Neodiprion lecontei: one gene and its partners. The protein of the gene in region 1 purifies or fractionates together with the protein of each later gene. This does not show direct contact. Links are inferred from orthologs where the notes say so. Each region holds a gene or a part of one and is shown in the gene's direction. Other genes may lie near its edges. The genes, in order: casein kinase II subunit beta, protein kinase C-binding protein 1, YY1-associated factor 2 and G patch domain-containing protein 2.

Region 1 (4,178 bases):
CTGTACTTTGGATTACTCATATGATACAATTTTCATCAAATTCGTGGGGCAAGTGTTTGTGAAAAAGAACTCCGCACTATAAAATTTTTCATCAAGGCTTCGAGGGCTTAATTTCGAACGTAATAAGGAATATAATACGAGTTTTTTTGAAAAATAAAAATACATAAATAAATGACGTTTAATTGTTTGGATTAAGATCTCAAACATATCAGGTGTGCGACGAACATGAAAAACAGTAGAATCTACCAACCAGCCAATTCAACGATTTTCAGATCAAAATAATAAATCGTAATTGAAGGATTAATTTTGCGCGCGACACATAACCAGGTACCATGATCAAATATCGATGAAATCAGAATGGCTGTAATCTTGAAACATAACTACTGAATGTAAAAAAAATAAAAGAAATTGTGATATAGCTTATGAAAAAAAACTTGTACTCTGAGAAAAATCTGAATCGCGCGAGTTTCTATTTTGTAAGCACACTATATTACTATGGATTCACATTGAGTATTTTAAACGTTGAAAAAATAGATATGAGTATATATATATGTACATAAATATATATCATTGAATAATAATGAATCAACTCAAGTTTAAAAAATTGATCCTCGAGAAATTGACAGTTTGATACGATTCTGTTATTGACAAAATTGATATGTCTTGTTTATTGTGACAAATGTTTTTCCTTTTTTTGGATAACAATGAAGTCCATTCTAAAGACGCACTATCGTTCATCGTATTGTTAATGCTTTATTTTATATCCATGGACGTTTGAAAATGTAAATAAAGTTAGTTTTCAAAGACATTAGTGGATTTCATGGGCAAACATTCAATTCCAAACAATATATTGAATAATATACGAGTTAAAATCATGATAATAGTCTAACTATCGATGGTTTGAAATTGGCATACTCCCGAAAGTTGATAAATCAATAGACCAGACGGTACTGCAGAATGCATACTGACCATCTGTTTGCATAAATGACGGTAACGACTCGCGATGCAATTTTTTTCAATTTGCCAACTGACGAATGACTGGCTTCTGTTGCAGTTATAACCAATGTAGATAATACAATTGAAAGATAGAAAAAGATAACTCAGTGTCAGCTGCTTACAAGTGAAAGAATGACAAATTTGCGGTGTATTCTTTTAACTTCGTCAAGTAATAAAGAGCGAAAGGTTATATTGTTCGGCTACATCGTTTGTATTCCATGACGTCATAGACAAACTGAGACTGTTGCCACAACGGATTTCGCTCGTCCGCTCACCTCTGTGTCCTCTGACATCAGAATTTCAACAATATGTACCATCCCCCCATTCCACTGATCTCAATTATAATCACATTACAATAGAGATTATTGCCATGATTATTGCCCTACTCCTGCCATATTGTCCAACGATGAGCCAACCAATCATAATACAGGGTTGAACAATGAATCCGATAGTTTTTGTAAATCGACTATAGTTTCCAGCACTATCCGCGAGCGTAGTTTCCAATCATCACTCGACGCAGCACTGACTATAGATAAACGAGAGGCCTGTTATATCGACGCCCTGCGCCTGCCGTGTCGCCGATAACAAAATAATTTCATGTTCATTGTGGAGAACAGTTCGTGAATAGTGGATCGAATTGTATGTTGTGTGAGAAACTAGCGGGTGTATTTATTATCAATATCAGTATGGACTTGAATTGAAGTTAACATGGTATCAGGATTCTGAGAATAGTGTGCACCCAATAAATTCTCCGCATACAGCTGGTAGCAGACGCTAGCAGCGACACCTACCCTCTCTGGGCGAGCAAGCGTGGCTAATCAAGGCACCAAAAGGTAAGCCGTAAGGGCTGTTTATTTTTGGGTTTTCGGTTTACCGCGTGGCTCTTAGGCCAGTTTTCCTAGAGTCATGCGATTTTCCCTTATATTTAGTTATACAACGTACTCAATAATCATTTGACCGATCAGCAATGACCACGGAAACGTAGGTGAAGCGGTTGAGCAAAATGTCGGGCATCTTGCGTGCCGAACGAAGTGTCTTGTTATTCCGTTGGCTAATCTACGCGATTATGGTTTGTTAAAGTTTTTCACTAATATATCTCTAATTAATAGAAAAATGAGCAGTTCCGAGGAGGTATCATGGATCTCGTGGTTCTGCGGGCTCAGAGGAAATGAATTTTTTTGTGAGGTAAGAATTTTTCTAATCTCATTCTCATACAATCGTTATGATAGGTACTACCGATTATCAGTCAAAAATTTGGTGAAATCACTTTCTATGAATCATTCCTTAAATATTATGGCGTCTATTGTTGACCTCCAAATTTGCACTACCGCTGATATTACTATATATCCGTATGCTAATCGAGTGTAAAACCAAGTGTTTCAAAATTTAACTGAGATTATCATTATTATAAGTGTGGAGCTCAATTTTTAACCGAAATTATGTTTACAATTTCTACGCAGGTTGATGAAGACTATATACAAGATAAATTCAATCTAACTGGTCTCAATGAACAGGTTCCACACTATCGTCAGGCATTGGACATGATCCTTGACCTCGAACCTGGTACATATTGTCTTTTGTTTTTAAACTCTCTGTCGTACTTGTTATATATTCTCTGTGATCTACACCACTATCAGAACACTTAAGAATAATTCAAATCTTAAAACTTGAAAATCATAAGTACTGATAGCTCTATCGTCAAAGTGTAGAATTATAGGTATAGTTGAGTCGATATTTTTTAAGAAACTTCTTTTGCATCTTTGAATCTGGTGTGTTTAAATTGGAGAATATTACTGAGATGTGTACATTTTTGACTCATAGCTGCACATATAAACTTGAAAAATTTCCTAATTTTAGATGATGAACTGGATGACAATCCGAACCAATCGGATTTGATAGAACAGGCTGCTGAAATGCTGTATGGTCTTATTCACGCACGTTATATTTTAACGAACCGAGGTATTGCACAAATGATTGAAAAGTATCAGTCTGGTGACTTTGGCCACTGTCCACGTGTTTACTGCGAATCGCAGCCTATGTTGCCACTAGGACTCAGCGATGTACCAGGCGAAGCAATGGTCAAAAGTTACTGTCCCAAATGTATGGACGTCTACACTCCTAAAAGTTCACGACATCATCATACTGACGGTGCATATTTTGGAACTGGATTCCCACACATGCTGTTTATGGTGCATCCCGAATATCGACCTAAACGTGCTGCTAACCAGTTCGTGCCCAGGTAAAACCCTCACAACGAGAACTAGAAATAGTTGCATAACTGCAGAACTAAAAGATTTCTACCAGTCAACCAAACCAAGATAGTGATTTATTTATTTGGCTCTATTTAGGCATACTATTATGTGATATATACATTCTTATCTCGAGACCAGGACTCGAGAATTACTCTAAATACTTTATTTTACAAAATTTCAGGTTATATGGATTTAAAATTCACCCCCTGGCTTATCAGATTCAACAACAATCTGCTGCAACCTTCAAAGCTCCATTAAGAACTCTCAACTATAACAACGGAAAGCGTTAAAACTTTATTTAAATTTGAATTAGAAAATTTTCATTCGTATTTCGTAATACAAACCATAATTTTGTTGATAAGTTTTAAATAAACTGTCACTTGTTTTATAAACCTTCTTCAACCGGTTTCCGAGACCGAAGCAAGCGAACAAATCTATAGATGCAGCGTGCAAATATTAATGTTCGTAGGTAATTATAACCTTTCTCCATTTTACTTATACGTATACCTTTTTGTTTACTTGCCAAATCTAATGAACATTTCATTTTTTTAGTATGTAGCATAGTATCGAGATAATTTAATGTTAACTTCATGAATTCCGTGCAGTATTTTTTAACGCGCACTTGATTGTGCAGTTCGAAAACCTGTTAATTATTGATTGTTCTACTCTGAAAACAAAATATACCAATATTACGTATTTATCTATACTTCTAAGAATGTCATTGCTATAGAGCAATTTCTAACGCAATCGACAAACATCAATGAAAAGTAAACTAAAATTAGAAGTTAGCCTAATAGTAAAGTAAATTTGTTATTAACGATGAGATCAAAACCGTGTCATCATTTTCCAAATTATTAGTAGGATAAAATCGAAAAAAAAAAATGGTGTATAAACTATATTTGCTAAGCATAGTTTAATTTATACAATAAT
Region 2 (4,891 bases), on another chromosome or scaffold:
TTTAGCAATCTTACATTACACAACTATACTTGCTGACAGACACCTTTGACACTTCCTCATTTCTATCAATAGAACGGTAGCTAGCCATAGCCCTTATTTTCAAACTGATTCACAATACATGCAAAGACTACATAATGTGTTCCATATTCTCACATGATCTTTAAAAATGTATTTACATTCTGGCCTGCAATTTACAGGTCAACTTATAAAGTTCACTGTCAAATGATAAATAAGGTGATATATGTGTCACTTACATACTTCACTCTTATTTATGTAAATATATATTTTACTCTCAAGAACTTTTGAATGAAAATATAGGTTTTTGCTTATGCTTGTGTTAATTTATTACTGAGATGTATCTTTCTAAATCACGAACAGTATTCCAAAATCTGTTATTGTAATTATTGAAACGTAATTGACTAAATGTAAAATGAAAAGTTGCACATGTTACAAGATAGCACATAATTTTTTTGGGATATTCAAATATAAGGATGGTCTATACTCATAAATCAAATTTCTGTAAGCCTGATTTTATCACTTTTTTTGTAGTGCTTAAAGGGAATCTTAAATCAAAATTAAGTTTATTTGACATTGCAATACTGGAGATAAACTGGTTTTTATACACTTACAGAGTGAGGTATTACAAATTGATATATTCTCCTTGTATTACTAATATGATATTACTTATTTATAGTTTTGTTTTAAACTGTCAAATTTTGCTTTATTAATACACAGAGTATTGCTTAGCAAAGGATCCATTTTGGGTTAGTATCTCTTATTTCAGTAATTATCTATGTTTTTGCAAGACGCAATTCAAACTAAAACACTGCTTGATAGCGAAGGAAAATCTTGTGCTTAATGAAATAGCTGGAAGAAATCGAATATCTACAAAAATGTGAAAATAAAACGTCAACTGGCTAGAAAATATTTCAAAAAAATTGCAGATATTGTCAGAACATGAGTAAAATTCTCAAATTATTTTCCAAGAGTTATGAATATAAAACTATATCTAAAACTCTGGGACGTACAGGATTGCGGAACATATTATAATAAATAATATGGCAGTTGGAATAAAACTACGAATTGATCAGTTTGAGTACCAAAAGCTCCTGAGAAACAGCCTGCCTTGATGATAGTATAAGATGATGTCCAGTGATGCAGAGCGTTCTATCTAAGCTAGAGTTTTTATCAGTTCCATCGCTTCTATCAGTGAGAACGACGTTATCAAGTTTTGTAACTAATATAAAGTCACTCAATTCCATTATTCGTGCTGATTTAACTCACTGGAAATAACAAGGCGAAATATTATTATTCTTCTGCAATAAGTGACATTTCACAGATAAACGTAACCTTAAATAAATACCTTATCAGACTGATCGTTTATCTATTATATATTTGTAGTTTATCGTTGAATTTATGAGTCGATTAAAACATCGGTGTAACGGAATCGTCAGAAAACTCATTCGGCAATAGTTTTCGTAAAGTATTACGTCTCTTTGACAGCTGCTGTTAACCCGAATATTGTATGTGCGAGATCACTATACGCCTACACTACAGCTGGTTGACAGTGATAACCAGCTAACCCTTTAACAAGAGGTGTGGAAAAGATTGGCGAAAATTCGTACATAAACTGGTGATATTCCGGGATGGCGAAATGGAGAGCGAAAAAGGTGATGTAAAACTACAAGGTGTCATGCCTCAACGAGCATTCCGAGCCTTCGGAATTACCGGACCCACGCATAGTTTGACAGTTCTCTAATTGTATATGTGCACTTTTGTTACGACTGAATTGTAGACACGATCACCACGTGATGTCCGAAGGTTTGCCAATACCTCAACAGATAGCGCTGGCGTAACGAGAAGAGAAGGAAAGCCCGGCTAGTAGTGGTTTGCTCGTGCAGCGCAGCGAGAGATATTTCCTAACTTTCCATAGCGATTAATGTCTCCACTTATGTTTGTATCATGTTAATTCAACGAAATATTAGTCTTGCAAAGCGATGCGTCGTATCACCAGCTTTCGTCGTTTGATAATGCGTACTTCCTTCTGAATAGATTGGTAAGATCCTGTTTATATTTTTATGAAATTTTAACAGTCTATCCTCTTCTATTCACTGCCATTTCACACAACCACAGCATCCATTCCTGTGCCTGCTGCTATGATGTAGGTATACCCACTTTTTACTTCATTGTCATCCTGATATTACTTTCCCAATATTGAACCATGCTCAGGTACCCAAGTTTGTACCGCTGCAACTTAAATGCATTTCTACAATTATTTCTTTTTACATTTAGTACAACACGCTGTTACCAGGTCGATTAGCACTTTTGGCATTGGCACTCATCTACTTTCTGCTTATCTTTCGCATTCAGCCATAATCTTGTATTCCTCATTGTTGTAGACACGTCGCTTACCCAGGAGGCATACTATAAGTCATATTGCTTATTCACCTTACTCTTACAAAGTTATTTTCACTTCCGAGAATTGATTTAAGGCTTTATGTTTCTCTTGCGATTCGGGATAGTATGAAGGAAGATCCTGGCTTCTGGTTTCCTTTCAATCATCAAGAAAATAGTAAATGGTATACAGACTAGAAACATTTTGGGGCTAGGATTTCACCAGAAACTATTAAACTTTGAACAAAAACGAAGTAAGAAATATGCACCTGAAGTTTCGATCCATTAAACTTTATTGTAAATTCAACTTGTTGCTGATACTGAGATCCTATGATAAGACTTTGTGTAGTAAACCTGGTAAAAGTTTGTAAACCATCCAAGGGCACAACATTACACAATAAACTTAAGGCTAAATAACGCCCCGACCTGTTTTCAGTATTAGTAACAACTTGAGTTTTCGACTAAGCTTGATTGGTTGGAACTTTAAATGCATAGATAAACATCATTTCCATTTCAAAGTGTACGTAATAACAATGGCATATGTAAGAATGTTTGATGTCAGTGTCTTCAAACTATATATAGTCCTTGGCTGAACAAGGGAGGTGATAATTTCAAACTAGTCACATTAATGCAATCTATGAATTTTTTTTTTTTTATTCTAAATATTGCATTTTATATGTGAACAGAATAATTACCGACAGGATAATCATATATACAATTTTGTGTTGAAATAATTTTTTGTGGAATGATTGTTTCTTGGATCATTTTAAATAGGATCGGCGTGCATGATCTGTTTCAAACAAAACATGTCCTTAATCGGTTCTGAAGTCATAAATCATATTGACAAAAACCCTAAAACATAATTTTATCTTAGCTAAAGCAATTCTGGCAAAATTGCCATGAACCTAGAAAACCTGGCAACAAGGAAAAAGTTATGAAGCTTGATTACAAACCTTGAATTTAAAATGCAGAATATTTACATCCTTGAACATGATATAACTACTAAAAAGTCCTTTTTTCCGCGTATTGCTCTGACCTATATCCAATTCATGTTATTGATCAAAAATCACTTTATATTATACTTGGACACAGAAGCAGGATTTAAAAATTGATCGTCAGCTCTAAATTGTTTTATTTTTAATCCAGTTTCTTACTTCATTTCTAATGTGGACAAAGTTCTATTCATCTAGAAATTAGAAAAATGTTGAAAATGAAAGTTTGGTACAGCCAGAGCTGCAATAATGGAGTGCATTAATAAATAATAATGTTCAAAAGAATCGATTTCAATAAATTACATTAGCTGGCTTTCAGTTCATACTTTTATTTATTTTGTCGGTATGTCAAGATTTCAAATGTTTATCATGAAAATACAAATTTTCACTGTACATAAATAAATTTATAGAAATTGAAAATAAAATTCTTACATATAACACATAACATATGGTGAAAGTTTTATTGTATATTGAAAAAACCTGTATTTGATTGTTATATAGAATTAAATGATACTTCATATAATAGAACTACAAATATCAGATTTTTTTCAAAATCGCGCAGTGTGATACAAAATTTTTTTTCGACTATGGTGTATTAGTTCATGTATTCGAATTACCAGTGAATAGACAGAAAATTAAACTTCAAGTAGCCGAAGCTTTAATGACAATCTATTTCACACAGATACCATCTGATATATGATTCTGAGCAACATGGAGTCCTCGGAGGATAGAAAGAACGCAATGGAGGACTGCGAGGATCAGAAGAACAATTCAGAGACAGCAGTTACAGAGAAGGACAAAAACGATAATGAATCTAGCAAGAAATCGAACAAAATAAACAATCTAACTAATGCTCTGGAGCAAAGTGACAATATAGAATCAAAGACAAATGTGAATAGATCAAAGGATAACGTTAGCAACGAGTCTGATGTCAAAAGCCGAAAACAATCTGCTAAAAAACACAGTAGAATTGAAGCAGAATCGCAAGAAAATAACAGTGTTGAAAATAGACTTGATGGCAAGAAGCCTGATGTCTCTAAAAGTACAAGCGAGGAAGCACAAGCTTCGGAAACAAGATCGTCTTTGTCTGTTGGTAAAGACGTCAAGATCAATGGAGCAGAGATTAAAGGGGAAAGTGCAGTTAAGGAGGGCAAGAGAAAACGGAGAATGTCGAGGTTGGTAGACACCTGGTGTGTAAGTAGTTAGTTTTCTTATTTTCAATAATTTGATGTATTATTAATTTGTTGCTCAACATCGAAATTGTAGATCTTGCATCAACTGCAAACTATGTTTTCCATGTAAAACTTTTTATAACAATGTAAGCTCACTTAGTATATTCTTATTTTCTAAACCAAACCACAGAGTTTCAAAATCCGTTTATTTCTCACTTGGTATTTCCGAACATTCTTCATACTACAAAATATTGAAGTTCTTCACAGATTAACATGTTTCTCAATTTATATTCATAAGTACTGTAAACCTATTTTCTATTCTTTTAATTTTAC
Region 3 (7,922 bases), on another chromosome or scaffold:
CCAGCATGTCATTGGTGGCAGTATTTTGTATTTTTGAATGCTGTTTTCAAACCTTGGAATTGCAGTCTCTCCTTCATCTTCACTATCGCTAGCAATAACTTCCAATATTTCGTATTTTTCTTCCATTATCGCGATTCCACGCCGTACAGTCTCACCTATGCTTGCTATCAGTTCTGTATCTAGCTGTTCTTTCGTTTTTGGTACCTGATAAAATTTATCAGATTAATAACTGAGGTCAAATCTTTTCATCAGACAGATTTTACTTCTATAGAACAATACACAATTTACAGTAGAAATGAAACAAGAGACAAGTCTAGCAAAAAAAAATTTGGTCTTGCTGACGTACTTCTAGCTGTTGTTCTTTCGGTGGTTCAGCTTCTATTTCATCCTCGTAGACTCTACTCTCGATAAACTGTGTGTTGGCTAGAGCTAGTGATGTGTTGGTTATATTATCTATGAAAATAATTGTTTCGTCAAGCTCTGAACTGAACGAATTTAAGGCTTCCTGCGTCTTGTTAGCTGTTGTCATCAGCTTCTGAAGGAAAGAAACAAAAAAAAAAACACGCACAAGAGTGTTATTTTTTTTAATAAAAATTCATTCTAATAGTGAAAAACCAGACTACAATCATTACCAAAGTGAAGTGTAACAGGGAAATCTTTTGAAACGATAGATATTGAAGTATTGAATTTAAATAAGACCGTTTAATAAAAGCAAAGTAAAAATAAGCGTTTTCGTCCCATAATTAGTTCTGAACACGTATTGCATCTGATTTTTATTTTCCTTTGATTGAAAACAGCTTGATTTTCTATCAGTGTGCCTAATATCTGGCTTTATATTATTATACCAGATCCGAAGTGTTTATTAACTAAAAATTCCTACATCTGAAAATTGTTGCAGATGCTGTAGAAGGCCGGCATCTCCGGCAAGATTCCAGGCAGTTCTTTTTTCTCGCATTTCATCTGTAGTCCATGGATGATCCCATGGTTTCTCAGCTCTCTCCGGTCCAGCAGAGTCCTAAGAAATTATTCAAACAAGTTATAATATTTTCAACTATACCACCACGATTACAGATAGTGAATTTACTGCCTAACAGTATAGTTTGAGAGGTTATTCAGAATAAAATTTAGGGGTCTCCCATCTGAGGTTTAGCTATTGACAGAAGACCCCTAAATTGTCCGCGTGATTGTGATCCTCCCCTTCAATGTCAGCTGATAAAGAGGAACAAAAAAAGTAGGAATATCACTGTAGAGATAAAATTGTAAAGTAAGTGAGTGAAGTTTAAATATTAAAACTAGAGATTTTCACCATTTCTTATCTGGACTGACACCTAAAGTGTCCCGAGTCACTTTTCCGTTGTGCAAATCACATTTAACAGAGAAAATTTGGTTATTAATATCAAGCTGATTCCGTTGACAACTTAGGAGCAACCACTTCTCTTATTATTGCTTACGGTGCAATCGAATTCATTTGTTAATCGAGGTTCGAGCCGCAGTTTTAAAATCGCAAGTCGCAACTTTAGGCGTAGAGATTTGGTTTACAGAATTACCAGCTTGGTGGTTTTGAAAAGTTATTCGTAGGAAGAGATGCCTGTTTGGCGGGAAATATAATGATTCGAAGGAATGTTGGCATATTTGGTAAAAAATTTTGCAATTTAAAGCTAATGTGGTGGTAATGTTTCATGTTTTTAGTGGGAAATTTGGCGTTTTTATTGATTTAGTATTTTGGCAGTAAATTATGGGTTGATTATTACTAAAAATATCGGATGTACGCAATACAAATCAAATAATCGATTCTTATCTCGATTCCGTAATCGATTAAAGAACGCCAAAGAGTCTGGTCATTTTTAGCGGAATAATGACAATTAAGTTGGCAGCGCTGTTTGGTCAAGTTCGGCCGTTCCGCCGTCCAAGTGGTAGCAAAACAGCGCCTTGTAGCGCTTTGGTTGTTTGTCAATATTTTACTTTCTGAATTTTATCCAGCTTTCGGGAGTTCGATAATATCGGATTATTTCCACTGTCGTCGGAGAGTCCTCACCGCCCAGAAACTTGCGGTTTATCTAGGGGCTCTATCGGCGTAAGTAAATTCACGTTTATATTGCGTGCCTGGAGCGAGTTAATTCGACGGTGTGTGTTGTGTACCCAATGCGTATGTGCTCCAGTTCATTGATATTATCGTGTGTCGCACGTACACATGTGCACTTTACGCGTGCATGCATACCTTACCAGAGTTGCATGTGCAATACTTAACACATTTCTGCAACAGTACGCAAGGTCGAGATTTGGATTCCTAGGTGTGCAATCATCATTCATCTCATACCAACCAAATGGATTGTTCACTGATTTTGCCTATAATACCGTATTGTTCCGAATATTAGGCGAGGTTTTTTTTTTTGTTGACAGCACCCGCCAAAATCGTCCTCGTCTTATACGCAAACCCGTCGTGCGGGTAACTACGAAAAACACTCTGAAATACTGTCTTAGAATTTGGGGTCGGCTTATAGTCTGAACAATTCGGTATCCTTCACATTGTACATTTCTTGAGTACCTAGAGTGTAAATAATCTAGAGCGGATGCTGAATACTGAATAGAGAAAAATATTGTGATCCACGTATGGGGTCATTTTTACAGGTTTGACTGATGAGCTCTACATCGTCACTTAGGAATAACCGAAGTTGATTCAGTTCATGACAATACAATCTGAGGCAAGTACTACCTCAAAGGTGTAATGACCAATCGAATATTAGCATCTGAAATTTAGGTCAACTGGGAAATGCATCAATTCGTCTGTTTTGACTTCATCATTCCGACCGCTACTGTATTTTGTAAAAAATTATTTCTGTCTTCAGACATGACATGACTGTTTATGAATTTTTTTCTGTACACAACCAGAAATGTAATTTTTTTACTTTCGTAGCATCTGATAAATAACTATTTTAAAAAGAGTCACAGCAGTTCACATATTCTTGTTAGGTATTACCTCGTAATCTCTGTACTGATGGATAATGTAACTGATTGTCAGTAAACTAACATTCAAAAATGATTGTCCAATCATTTTGGAATATGCTGATAGAAATTTGCTTGTTTTGTTTCAGTCAAATTTGAAGATTCACAATGATGTTTTGGACAAGGATAATATGGTTCATGGACCAAGGCGGTCATCTTGAGATTGACGAAGACACGAAGTGGCCTACTGTATTATTGAGTTGATGCACCTGAAATACATTTAGTCCTATATCATCGATAGTTTTAAATAAATACAGTCACCCTGGCTCGTTTGAAAATATTTCAAAGACTTACAAGTGTTAATAAAACTGGTTTTAATGAGGCTGAAAGGGTGCAGAAGAGGGCAGGATCTCTTTTGAGAAGGTTCAGCGTAGCACGACTGACTCCGATGAACAATGAACCATTCCGGAAGTGGGAAGCGGCAGGCAAAGGTTTTGGAAGACAGCTATTGGGACTGCAGTGTCTGCACCTTTAGGAATACAGCTGAAGCTTTCAAGTGCCTCATGTGTGACGTCCGCAAAGGAACCTCTACGCGGAAGCCCCGCATCAATCCTCAACTAGTAGCTCAGCAGGTTGGCAATCGTTATAACGAAATTTATTCACCTAGAATAAAAACATACAGACACCATTGTGTAATTGTGTGAATGTATCGATCTGTATGCAGAGTGACTTAAACATCACGAAGTACCAGATAACAGTATTCTGGAGTAAGCAAATATATCATATGGCAATTTTATTTACCATTGTAACATATTGGAATATTTACACAATACGTGAATATACTCTTTTGATTTACAGGTTGCTCAACAACAATACGTACCACCCTTGAAACCAGGTAAAAAAGAGGGTGGAAGCGGTAGTAGCACTACCAGTAGTGGAAAAGACAAGGAACGAAAACTGGATAAACCAAGGCGCAAGAACTGGCATCCGCCTCGCCTCAAGAACATTGACCGGAGTACGGCACAAACTAAAGAAGTCACTGTGAATAATGTTACCGTTGTCATCACTGAATACAAACCAAAAGTAAAGAAGAGCTCCGACCAATCCGGCCTCTCGAGCAGTGCGTCTTCTGAGAATGGAAGTCAGCATGATTCTAATCAGGATTCTAGAAGCCTTGACATAGGAACTGATGCCTAGTTCGTCATTACGACATGTGCATAAATGATTATAATTAATATATATGCTATGCAAAACCACACCATCTGATATCAGCTGCTTTACTTTTATTGAAGTTTGTTATTTCACATCTGTGTGCGAGATAAGCACTATCAATTGCCGTATACCCGCGTAAACTGTTATCCAATTATCCATCTACTGTGGCTTTAGAAATATGTAATTGTCGGATGTTTTGGTTTTCGCGTCATATTTCAGTGTTCTAACGATGGGAAAGTTGGCTGTTACTCGTTGCTCAATCCCGCATCCTTAGCTGGAACATCTTGCATTAAATTGCACATGCGTCATAGTGTCAAGTGATATCACACTGCCAGAGATCCAGTTATCGTTTTACATGCCTTTGAAGTGTTTGAAAAACTATTGTATGAATCTTCAAGGTTAAGAAACTTCCAAATATTTTCCAATTGATTTCTCAAACAATTCGTCTTTTTTTAAAGATCGTGACTTGAGTTATTAAAATATCAAAACTACATATGAATTCATTACAAAAATTTCAGAAATTGGAAGAAAAAAAGTCTTGTACCCCCTGATACTGATTAAGCGTATTGAATCAACGAATAGTGGTTATTTTTTTATGCCAAAAAAAAGAAAGAAAAAATAAATAATTGCCCAAACGTGTCATAATGCATGATTGTGAATTGTTTCGATCAAATAATTTTACAGTCACTGTATTATGAAGATTGCTATTGGCGAAATCTCATTCTTGTTACATCGTGTCCATTTCTCGTATTTTGTCAAAATTGCCAAAAGATATTGAGATTAAAAATTCCACACTTACTCTTAATATTGACTAATAAATGGGCTAATGGCATTCATTTCCAGGACTGCAGTGATAACTGCTCATGACAATAGCCTAAAATAGCAAGCTATATTTTATAGATCTTAGACTCAGAGAATTCATCAAAAGTGACCATTTGTTGATTGATATTTCTATGTGTAAATACAAGTAAGCAGCGCAAATTCAAAAAACCATAGGAAATTTATCAAATACGTAGAGTTACAGAACGTCATAATTAGATGTTACACATATCCCAATATCAGGTACCGTATTGTTCCGAATAAAAGCCGAAGTTTTTTTTATCGTTGGCAGTACCAGTTGAAATCATACTTTGTTTACACATAGACCTGCCTCACCTGCGGGCAACTGAAAAAAACACCCTGAAATACTGTCTCAGAATGGGGAGTCGTCTTATTATATGCGAGGTCGGCTTATACTCGGAACAATACGTTACTTGTGTCCCATACATGACGTATAGATTTCTCAACAACTTACAGTTTCATTATAAAATAATGAACGTGTATATAATTTCTCATATTAGGAGATTAATATGACAAATAAGGTATTGTCATTCAATTATTATAGTAATTATCTTTAGTGCAAATTATTATTTTTTTTTAAAAGCAGATTTTCTCAACATGTTACAAAAGTAACCCTTATGTACTCGTCATATTAAATTTCATTGCTTACAATACACCGTTTTTACTTGGAACTGGAAAATTAATTACGTTACAATGCAATCAATTGATGACTATACAACTTCAATGTGTCCACAAAGTACTCAACTACATATCTTTATATTTTCGCATAACATCATTTCAACTATTTGCAATTTGGAATCATCAAGAAAGCTAAGGATGGAAAACGGAGGCTTAAACATCAATTTGTGTACTACCATAGAGATCGTAACTCATCTCTGATCTGAAATTGTTGTGTATGGTCGGACAGCGACAGCTTTGTTTTTCTTACTGAAACTTTTTGCGAAAAGTGTAGAAAGTATGGATATGAAGAGCAAAGCTGACGGTGGAACACTATGAAAATACGTGAATGTGAATCATTGAGGCTGAAATAGATACAGCTTAGAAGTGTCCTAAAAGTAAAATATTTGGCAATTATCAAATACCAATTGACGAGAAAATAAAAAAATTATGAATATCAAATCAAAACTTATCTGTACTATGGTAGTAGCATGTGACCTGTGTATATCTAGATACTATGTAAACTGTATTAGTAATTATAAAATTACTAATATTTTAGTAACAACAACGGTTATTGGTGTAAAATTAATGGCATAGAATCTCTGTGTACAACTAATCCAACAGCTATTATTCGTTTGTTTTGAAATAATATGAGACTGCCTTACACATCGTTTAATACAATACACATATTATTAGTTCGATTAAAAACAAACGATTCCATGAAGCTAAGTTGACGTTGAGCAGGGTCAAGATTACTGAAAAATATGGAACTAATCGTTGGCGCTATCGAAATTAAGACTAAATCAGAATATTCAGGATTATTTAATATCACGAAATACGTGGCAGAACATCTGCTAATAGTCTAACAGATAAGTTTAGCTAGTGCCGCCTGAGTTAAGTTTCGTCTTTTCTAGTAATCTCTTATATTTTATACTTATTACTAAAGCTCTGTGGAGCTTAAAGTTTTACAGATGAAGATGACCACCCCTAAGGTAACTAAAGACATAATCTATCTGTTAGGTTCATGTCGCATACATAGTAAAAGTTAAATTCATGCAATCATCAAATTATTGAAACCTAGCTTCATCGAAATAGGTAAAAATTGAACTGACATTTTTCTCGTCTTAGGCGGGATAACTAATTCGATAATTTCGTCGATACATTTTTTTCACCTCTAATGCGTGATACGTGCCAACATTTCAGTCTATGTATCTCCTACAATACCGCGATTTCCACCAGACCTCATTAGACGGACATTTAAAAAGCATGATATCATTTTTTCATTCGCGACGCTCTACGATATCTTCATTTCATGTATCACAACTTTATGATCTTTCATTTTAGTAAAAATCAAAATCTTTTATTTAGGATTTTGCGTTGCGGTAATCGCTGTCAGTTGGCCTCCACTGTGAACGTGCAAAACCTGCTTCAATCGATCCGTATGGTATCCACGAGGTACACCAACTATGACAGCAAAGTCCATTTTGTAATATGCTTAGGAAAAATATTGTAAATTGAATATAATATCTGTATATGTATATTAGGGTGTCTACAAAAAAAACTATTTCGATTTTTCATGCTCTTACCCCTCAAAACTTGAGGTTTGATAGAAAAAAACATCCTCTCGAAAAGGAAACTCTGTAACTCAAGTAAAGCCGCCGTTTATTGGACGTTTCTAACTATAACAGCCAATTAACGTGTATGACGAACTTTTTGGAAGGAAAAATTCGAGACCATGGGGATTGTGTTTCAAATCGAGAGAAATAAAATTTCATTAAATAAATTTTTTTTCATACCTAATTTTTATTTTTCTATAATTTCTAATTTAAAAAATTACAAAAATTATGAATAGGAATAAAAAAAAATTAATTCAACGAAATTTTGTTTCTCTTAATTTGAAGTCCAATCCCCATGGTCTAAAATTTTTCCTTCCAAAAAGTTCGTCCTAGACGTAAATTGGTTGTTATGATTAGAAGCGTCCAATGAGCGGCGGATTCCCTTCCTCTTCTTCGCGGGGATGTTTTGTTCTATCAAAACTCAAGTTTTGAGGAGTAGGAGCATGAAAAACTGATATTGGTTTCTTTTGAGACACTCTAATGTATATATACAAACGTACATATATGTATATATATGTACATTAGAGTGTTTCAAAATAAAAAAAAAATTAGATTTTCGAACGGGCCACACTTGAAGTAGTTAGTTTAGGTAGAAACAAAAATTCTGGCGAAACATGAGCATTGTCGGTTGAGTGGAAGATCGTGCACATTTGT
Region 4 (7,681 bases), on another chromosome or scaffold:
CTCGCAAAAGAAAATCTTAATCAAAGGTAAATGATTAACGTTGTGGCGCGACAGTCGCGCATAGCTTGTACATGCATGGACGTACGAACCAGCGTCCCTGTAGTTCCTTCCATCAATGGATCGTCATTGGTCGAACGATCGTTCCTAGCCAATAACATTCCGTCTTTTCATGGGAATAAGAGACTTGAAAATTAATTTGCTTTGATTTCAGGGTATGTATGCACACACACACGCTTACACGCATGTTAGGCAACACATTCTGATCGGCCGTCAAATCATTTGTTACATACATAACAACAATCTCCGAAGATGATCAAAAATTTGCTACCGCTTGCAACTGTTTCGTAAAGATGGTCGCACCGATATAATAGAATCGCGTGGCTACTCGGCACGCATTTGATACAATAATAACAACACATTCGTACATACAAACAAAATTACAATACGCAAGGTGCGTGCGATCAGCAGCTATGAGCTACTTATATACGCCGTGTGCTGCCTATCTGTGTTGCACGATTTTGAGCTCAATTATTTTTTACCTCTCATGAATAACTAGGTGACAGGAACCCTTCTGTCCACACTCGTCAGAACTATATTTATATATATAATTGGTGAATAATAATAATAAAATTAGTAACGAAACTAAATAAACATGTGTAATGTACAAAGAATGCGGTTCATATGTGATACGACTTACATCTTGGGGGGGGGGATGGTTCCGATAATTGGTACTCAATCTCGAGTTACGTTTCTTCGAACTCTGTTCACAAACGAGTTATAATTCGCTCGTCCATCGAGTTCTGAAATTTGGAAGTGTGGAAAATCTGGTTCACGTTCTGAAGCCATGGTTGTGGTATGGCTTGAGCTGCGAACCGATAACATATAGAATCAATTTCATGATTCGTTCGCCTCTGGATTCGGTATCGCATAATTGCGGATGAAGACGCTATTCCTGACACAGCTTGAGTGTAGCTGTTAGTTCTCCCTAGCTTTGCTGCTATGTTACGGAGTGGTTCAGGTTCTGAATCGTCTGGTGAACGTGATATAAAGGATACTTGGGCTAAGGATCCTGTAGTTGAAGTTGGGAAGGTTGCGATCGCTTTACATTTTGAATTTTCAATATGATCTGCCACAGATTTTAGTAAATCCTGGAAAATTGGGATATTTGCGATGTTCCTTGGAAACACATCGTTAGCTGTAATCCCACCTGCTTCTAGGGTCACACGCTGATCTTCTGACAGCCTCTCTTTTCTACGCCAACCTAAAAGGTTTTCTGTAGGCAATTGAGCGGCCTCTAGATTAGGACGAAGACCTTCTGGAGGATCCCAGTGAATAGGGCCAACAGGCATAAGATCTGCCTGCATCTTCAGAACGGAAATGATTGGCGCGGGTATCGTTTCATATAATATATAAGTATTGGCATCAATGATACCATAGCTTCCGACCATTCCGTTAACCCGGTGATCAGTCAGTGTGGCTTGGAGTTGCAAATGGAATTCTCGTCCAGATGCATACCTAATATCTCCTATCCCTTGCAGATACATTTAGATATCTGTTGGTAATGGAAAGTCAAAATTTAGGGCCTGAGATAACTGTAGATGTTCAAGAGTGAGATGACCTCTTGAGCTTGAGATATCAAACAGTCTTTTCTAAAGTGCCACTGTGCAATAATATTGATAGGCACTAAAAGGAACATACTTCCTCATAGATCTATCGAAAGCCCTCTGGGCACCATATGATGTTTGGATGACTTGAGTGTACCCGCTAAAGTCCAGTTGGAATGTGCGCTCTCGAGCTACCTCAACGAAACCGTTGATTCCCTCGATAGTGAGCAGATCATTAATGAGTGGATCATTCTTCTCCATTGATGCGACTGAACTTTTGGCTTTGGGAGCCAAATCCAGCACGATATCCCTGGACTTGAAATCCTTCTTGGGATTAGTGCGAATTGTCTTAACCTTAGGGGTTTCTTCGACAGGGTGGGTCCCGGTTGAGTTAGTGTCGGCTGGGAGCGATGCTCCCCCACGACCCCGTCCGTTTCCTCTGTCTCGGAAAGTTTCGCGAAAGGTTCGACTCTGTTGCGGTTTGTGTTCTGATATGTTAATGGTGCTTTGTTTCATCTACTAGACTATTCACGCAAAATCACTAGAATTTTGGTTAGTATATACGTACATATCTACGTTTGAAGTTTGCACGTCTTTCTATCGTGATACGAGTTTTCAATGAGTTGTAGCTGCATGTAACATTCAAATTAAATTTTTACACCTTACACAATACTTGTTGTAATCTCTAAATTGTTATTACAAATGAATATTTTTGTTATTGTTACATCGTATCCAGGCGAATAGGCATATTTTTCTCTATTTTGTTCCTTCCCGTTACTGACCTGATATAATCTATGAGATTTTACATGTCGTGTATCGAATGATCGAAGCTAAGTAACATTTTATAAACCACCTCACTTGTGACGATTTTTCATGATACGGTTATGTGAGTTTTTCACTTACTCCAATCGTTTGCTGTACTTGTAAGCTTTTGTTCAAATTTTATTCTGTGCAATTTACATATTAATTTTCCACTTAGATTTATGAGACTGTCTAATAACTTATTTTAAACTTTCAATATTATTTTGTCATAAATAAATGTTAAAATTGTAAACACAGCTTTATATAACTGGAATGAATTTATAAATTTCTTGTACCATTTAATTACAAAGCTGTGGAAAAATATTCAATTTTTGTTGGCACAGTTAACAGGGTGGCCACCCGTCTGGAAAACCGGGAAATGTCAGGGAATTCCGTGAGCGGAATTGAGTGGCCACCCTGGTTAAAAAATTGAGAACAAGTTTCACTAGGCGAATATGATGTACAAAACATTTTGTGAACTTCTTTCGAAAGTATCAAGAGAATAGCAATAAAACCTGAACCATATCAAATTAATTCCAATTTAAAAAGTCATCAAAACTTTATAAAGTAATACACAAATACAGTCATTGTAACTTTGTAACAATAACGTAACAACTGAAATTAGTGGCAATTTTTTTCTTCAATCACTCAATCTATGGATTTCATGTTTCAATCTTTTGCATGACTGCAAAGAAACGTCTAGGTTGGTTTTGCATACATGAAACTATCTTTAGCTACACGAACTTCTCAGCTTCTTGATATTCATGAACGTTCTGCTGTGACATAATTGGGAAATTTTTGAATTTACACAAACATGCAGTTGAAAAGAAAACAATTAATGTAACATTTGAGTTTACCAAGAGTGAAAAAAATACTTTACTTTTGGGAGTCCGGTTTCAATCTAAAATTGGATAATGACCTGTTAAATTGTAAGAAAAAGTGGGTGTAACGGGATTAGAACTGTTAATATATGAACGTCTGCATAATCATATCATTAGTTTAGCCAATGCAGTTTAGCTTGTACAAGGACTAATAGGTTCGGTTTTGACATATCACGATATACCAAATGCAATGTTTTTTTAAAAAAAATCAAAACTATACTTTTGCACATCCTACCAATGTCACTGCAGTTCACCCTTGTATTTATTGTCAGTTTTGATATTCAGAGCAGTCGTGAGAAAGGCTCTATACCAATGAAGCCATGCCTGAAGCTTTTTTTAAACATAAGAATTCACTATAAATACAAGGCTGTTCAATTTTACAAAATAAGGCCTTCCAGATTGCTTAGTCAATGTATCATTTGAAAGAAAACATTGGAGTGATGGAATTAGATAGCTTAAGATACCTTATTTACAATGTAGCTTTTATTCGATGTTTTAATAATTGATAAACGACTAAAAAAATGTTTAAAAATCCTGTATTGCTTATCACAAACACTAGATTTGTGGGGTGAAGAGTAGAGAAAATTTGAATTAATTCAGTTGTTTCCAATTGTGTTCACGATTAAATTTCAAGGAAAAAGCGTATTCTTCAAATGGAGCGTGCCCTAAAAACAGCGTCTGTGGATTTAAGAGTTATAATGGAGGCTCTTGTTCACGACTTGACCCTTGCGTTAGAAGAAAGTAGCAACAGCGCCAATGTGAGGCGTAGATGGGGTATCAGGAGAAGAGCAAGGTCAACAGGAAATATTCGTGAGTATAAGTGGCAGAGGAATAGATTATATACTAAACCAAATGATTTTTATTTACGAACAGAGTTTAGTGGCAATTGCATACTATAATAATAATAATAGATACTGAATAATGTTTTATGATTAATTTTTCAGCTTCTCTGAGTGCAAATAAGCATTCAGATGATAGTTCGTCCTCTATATGCGATGTACGCATACCAAAAAGTGCGACAGTCTCAAAATATCAGTCGGACAGCGATGACAATAACCAGACAAAAAGATTCGCTCGCTTTTCAAACTTGAAAAATATCAATAACATCGAAAGTGATTCAGTAAATGAAAATTTTGCACCTGGAGCTAACACTAGACGGAAAAGAAAATTCAAGCGAATGGCTATCGACTCTGATTCTAATCCATCAACTTCACAGACTGTCACGATGATCCCGAGTTTGTCAGGCAAAAAGAAAAGGGGATTTCGGAACGATTGCAGACTTAGACATGAAACATGGTAATTAGACAGTTTCGCAATCTTATTCACTTCAGTTTGTTCACTTAAGATAAAAATGTTCCAAATCAGTGGAGTAGATAATTACATATCATGTTGATTTTAGGTGTGGCAAAAGGAAGAGGTCATGTCGCGAGCGTTCAATTGACTGTGAAATGCGATCTCCCAAACCAAACCGTAATTCAAAAATAAAAAACCGTGGTAAGATGCAAGCTGAGGATGTGATGGACTGCTCACGCATTTCTAACTCTAGTATTTCATCGAGTGATTCTGAAGGTGGAATAATTACCAACGATGAAGACCGCGAAGGTGAGTTTATATTTTAAATATAACATGTGTTTAAGTTATATAGATACTGTATTCCATTAAGATACTTTGAAATACTGGGGTGCCGATCTACCACTTCATGAAACTATAGTCGATAATGTAATATTGAACGTCATAAAAGGAAAATGCTCTGTTTTTTTTTTTTCATTTTTTTATGATTAAAACGTGAGATATCCAATTCTGATGTTTCGATGGAGATAATAATTTCTTTATACAAGAAATGGAATTTTCTATGGTACGTTTATATACTACATATTATATACTATACGTTTCACAACTTATTTAGTTTTCTTCAAATTGGCGTGTTATAGAAAAGTTTAAGCAGTACGATTTCTGAGATATTCAACATTACGTAAACATAGTCCTTCACCCTTTCGAAAAATCTGTACAGTGACAAATTTTACTACGCGCCAATTTGAAGAAAACTAAATAAGTACTCAAACTCTATCATAGAAAGTTCCGTTCTTTGTATAGAAAAATTATTATCAAATAAACGTCAGAATTGGATTTCTTACGTGTTAATCAAATCAAATGGCAACTACAAAATCTCGATGTGGTACAGCTTGAAAAAATTGTTCTGCATTTTCCATTCACAAAGTTCAATATTTTGTTATGAACTATAGTATCATGAAGTGGGAGATGGAAAAAAAAAAACAAAGTTATTTCTGAAGGCATTCTATTAAACACGCATATTTTTTTTTCAAGTGATGTGTTCATTACAATTACGAAATTTTGGCTTTCAGGCGATGATGAGCAATCCGATTGGATTGGAGATTCAGGATGGTGGGACGACGGGGACAGCACAAATGAAGAAAAGGTCAGTTCAGATCCGGCTTTGCAAGTAATACTACACGGTAGCTTTGAGCATTTAACCGATGAGGCGAAAAAAAATTATCGTCAAAGAATGCAATGGATTCGAGATGGACTCAGTGGCAGAGAAATTCGAGCTGGGCGACGCCGTGTGGATAATAAGCCTGGTTATTCTATAATAACTTCGGCGAACGAAAAAGTTTCAAGGTTTCTACAGGACCCTAGCCAAAGTGAACTAAAGCTGCATCCAATGCGACAGCCTGAGCGTGAAAAACTACGAAGGCTTGCCAATTTGTACAGCTTAAGTTTGAAGGGTGATTTGAGTTGTCCAATTTTATACAAAACTCGCCATACGACCCAAGCCATTTGCGTCGATCAAGTTTCTCTGAATAGAATATCCGATTACAAAAGGCTACGAAAGACTCCACCAAATTCGCCAAATCCTGATTCGGAAATGCAGGAGAATGAGCTACCTATTTCAAGTGTGAATTTTGGTACACAAATTACAAACCAAATACAGGGTATTGGCTCTGTCGAGAGCCTGACACAAACTGTAAACTTTGGCTGGGATATACCAAGTACAGACCTGCAAATAAAACCAAAGTTTCATAGCTTTGGTCACTCCAAATCTAGCTAAATGTTATAGAGATTTTATTACGAATCTACACATATGTTCTTGCATAATGACAATTCTCTGAAAACGCCGATTTTTACAGTCATAAACCAGTTTTTGTAAGTATAATTCAAACTTAAATCAAGCTCCATCGCACCTTGATAGCATGGTTGAATATAATCAAAGGCGAAAATCAATGACATTGCGAAAAGAAATGTAGCCGATTTTATTTTTCCGTCCCCTTCTTGTGAATTCATTAAACTTCGCTATTATCTGCTGACGTTCTGTGCAGTTTTTTCCGGAATTTCGTAATTTTTCTCATTCTATCAGAAAATTCCGTTCGCTTCACCGGTATTTAGTTGTATAAAAAGAGAAACTTACAATCCTGTCTTGTGTTTGAATTATATTTTAAAACATTTGTAAGAATGCCTGTAAAGAACAGTTACATAAAGAAATATTATTTACAAGCATTTGATATACTAAGGTTTACCAGAACAACAGTTACATGTCTCATGAACTATACTTCTGTACATTTTTGTGCCTAAACCAGATCTTGATGAAACATGCCCAAGAATTCCTCGAAGATGTATATCAGTTTTTTTTGAGGTGTAAGTAGATCTCCGGTCATTTATTTTTGGAATATCACTTGAAATAATGATTATAATAATTTATAACTATAGTGTTAAGTTGTTACCTACAGTACAGTCTGGAATACTGTATATGTTAATTATTATCATCTTCTATTAGGGTTTTTGAAAACTCGTTCATGAAAGATGGGCCAATGGTGGAAGTTATGTTTAAAAACATAATATAACAATAAATACACTACTACTTCTATAAAATTCATGCGTTAGTTTATTCATATAGTAAGACGTTTTTGATATACTAATAGCATATAACATAGAACGAGGAGCACTTGTTGATAAAATTCTAAATGACCAAAAATAAATGTAGTATTATTAGCGTAATTGACCTAATTTTTTAGCTGCTGCCATTGCATTTTCATTGGCTATCATCTGAAATTCTTGAAAGCGTTGGGAGACCCTCTGATTCATCTTCATATATTTCTCCATACAATTCAGCGCACATTTCTCCTCTTTGGTTCTCACTTCTCGTGTTGTAAAATCGGTTATACAGTCAATGAAGCAGATTTCCGATAGCTTATTGTATGATGTCAAGAAGTCTCTAAACTGAAAAGTTATAAAATTATTCCAATAATAAATATGTTTTATTAAATATTTTACTATGTCAAATTTAAACGATTAATTATATCGTTACACTTCGAATTTTTACCAGACTGTAGGACAAGACGAAAGTACGTTTAAATTACTTTTGCTGAAAGTTGTAATAGA

The links.
Region 2: the proteins of casein kinase II subunit beta (region 1) and protein kinase C-binding protein 1 purify together in Homo sapiens (affinity purification with mass spectrometry; 3 studies listed by BioGRID and IntAct, with this or other methods). This does not show direct contact. The link is inferred for Neodiprion lecontei from reciprocal best matches to the Homo sapiens genes CSNK2B and ZMYND8.
Region 3: the proteins of casein kinase II subunit beta (region 1) and YY1-associated factor 2 purify together in Homo sapiens (affinity purification with mass spectrometry; 5 studies listed by BioGRID and IntAct, counting the BioPlex papers as one, with this or other methods). This does not show direct contact. The link is inferred for Neodiprion lecontei from reciprocal best matches to the Homo sapiens genes CSNK2B and YAF2.
Region 4: the proteins of casein kinase II subunit beta (region 1) and G patch domain-containing protein 2 purify together in Homo sapiens (co-immunoprecipitation; 3 studies listed by BioGRID and IntAct, with this or other methods). This does not show direct contact. The link is inferred for Neodiprion lecontei from reciprocal best matches to the Homo sapiens genes CSNK2B and GPATCH2.

Annotation. Positions count from the first base shown.
Region 1 is NC_060262.1:34,621,107-34,625,284, reverse strand, and holds casein kinase II subunit beta, read left to right. Parts: upstream 1-1,835; 5' UTR 1,836-1,963; coding exon 1,964-1,977; intron 1,978-2,105; coding exon 2,106-2,181; intron 2,182-2,456; coding exon 2,457-2,559; intron 2,560-2,853; coding exon 2,854-3,235; intron 3,236-3,429; coding exon 3,430-3,538; 3' UTR 3,539-3,640; downstream 3,641-4,178. UniProt on the Homo sapiens protein: Regulatory subunit of casein kinase II/CK2.
Region 2 is NC_060263.1:23,697,473-23,702,363, forward strand, and holds the start of protein kinase C-binding protein 1, read left to right. Parts: upstream 1-1,879; 5' UTR 1,880-2,056; intron 2,057-2,517; exon of another isoform or gene 2,518-2,648; intron 2,649-4,068; 5' UTR 4,069-4,082; coding exon 4,083-4,576; intron 4,577-4,891. Other genes in the region: myotubularin-related protein 9, read right to left, coding at 1,101-1,262. UniProt on the Homo sapiens protein: Chromatin reader that recognizes dual histone modifications such as histone H3.1 dimethylated at 'Lys-36' and histone H4 acetylated at 'Lys-16' (H3.1K36me2-H4K16ac) and histone H3 methylated at 'Lys-4' and histone H4 acetylated at 'Lys-14' (H3K4me1-H3K14ac).
Region 3 is NC_060263.1:33,482,107-33,490,028, forward strand, and holds YY1-associated factor 2, read left to right. Parts: upstream 1-1,891; 5' UTR 1,892-2,074; intron 2,075-3,092; 5' UTR 3,093-3,398; coding exon 3,399-3,575; intron 3,576-3,801; coding exon 3,802-4,140; 3' UTR 4,141-7,733; downstream 7,734-7,922. Other genes in the region: WASH complex subunit 2C, read right to left, coding at 53-204, 347-535, 881-1,015, 1,307-1,309. UniProt on the Homo sapiens protein: Binds to MYC and inhibits MYC-mediated transactivation. Also binds to MYCN and enhances MYCN-dependent transcriptional activation. Increases calpain 2-mediated proteolysis of YY1 in vitro.
Region 4 is NC_060265.1:19,680,414-19,688,094, forward strand, and holds G patch domain-containing protein 2, read left to right. Parts: upstream 1-1,942; 5' UTR 1,943-2,014; coding exon 2,015-2,067; intron 2,068-3,920; coding exon 3,921-4,096; intron 4,097-4,230; coding exon 4,231-4,582; intron 4,583-4,685; coding exon 4,686-4,888; intron 4,889-5,649; coding exon 5,650-6,353; 3' UTR 6,354-7,171; downstream 7,172-7,681. Other genes in the region: mitochondrial import inner membrane translocase subunit Tim9, read right to left, coding at 7,289-7,519. UniProt on the Homo sapiens protein: Enhances the ATPase activity of DHX15 in vitro.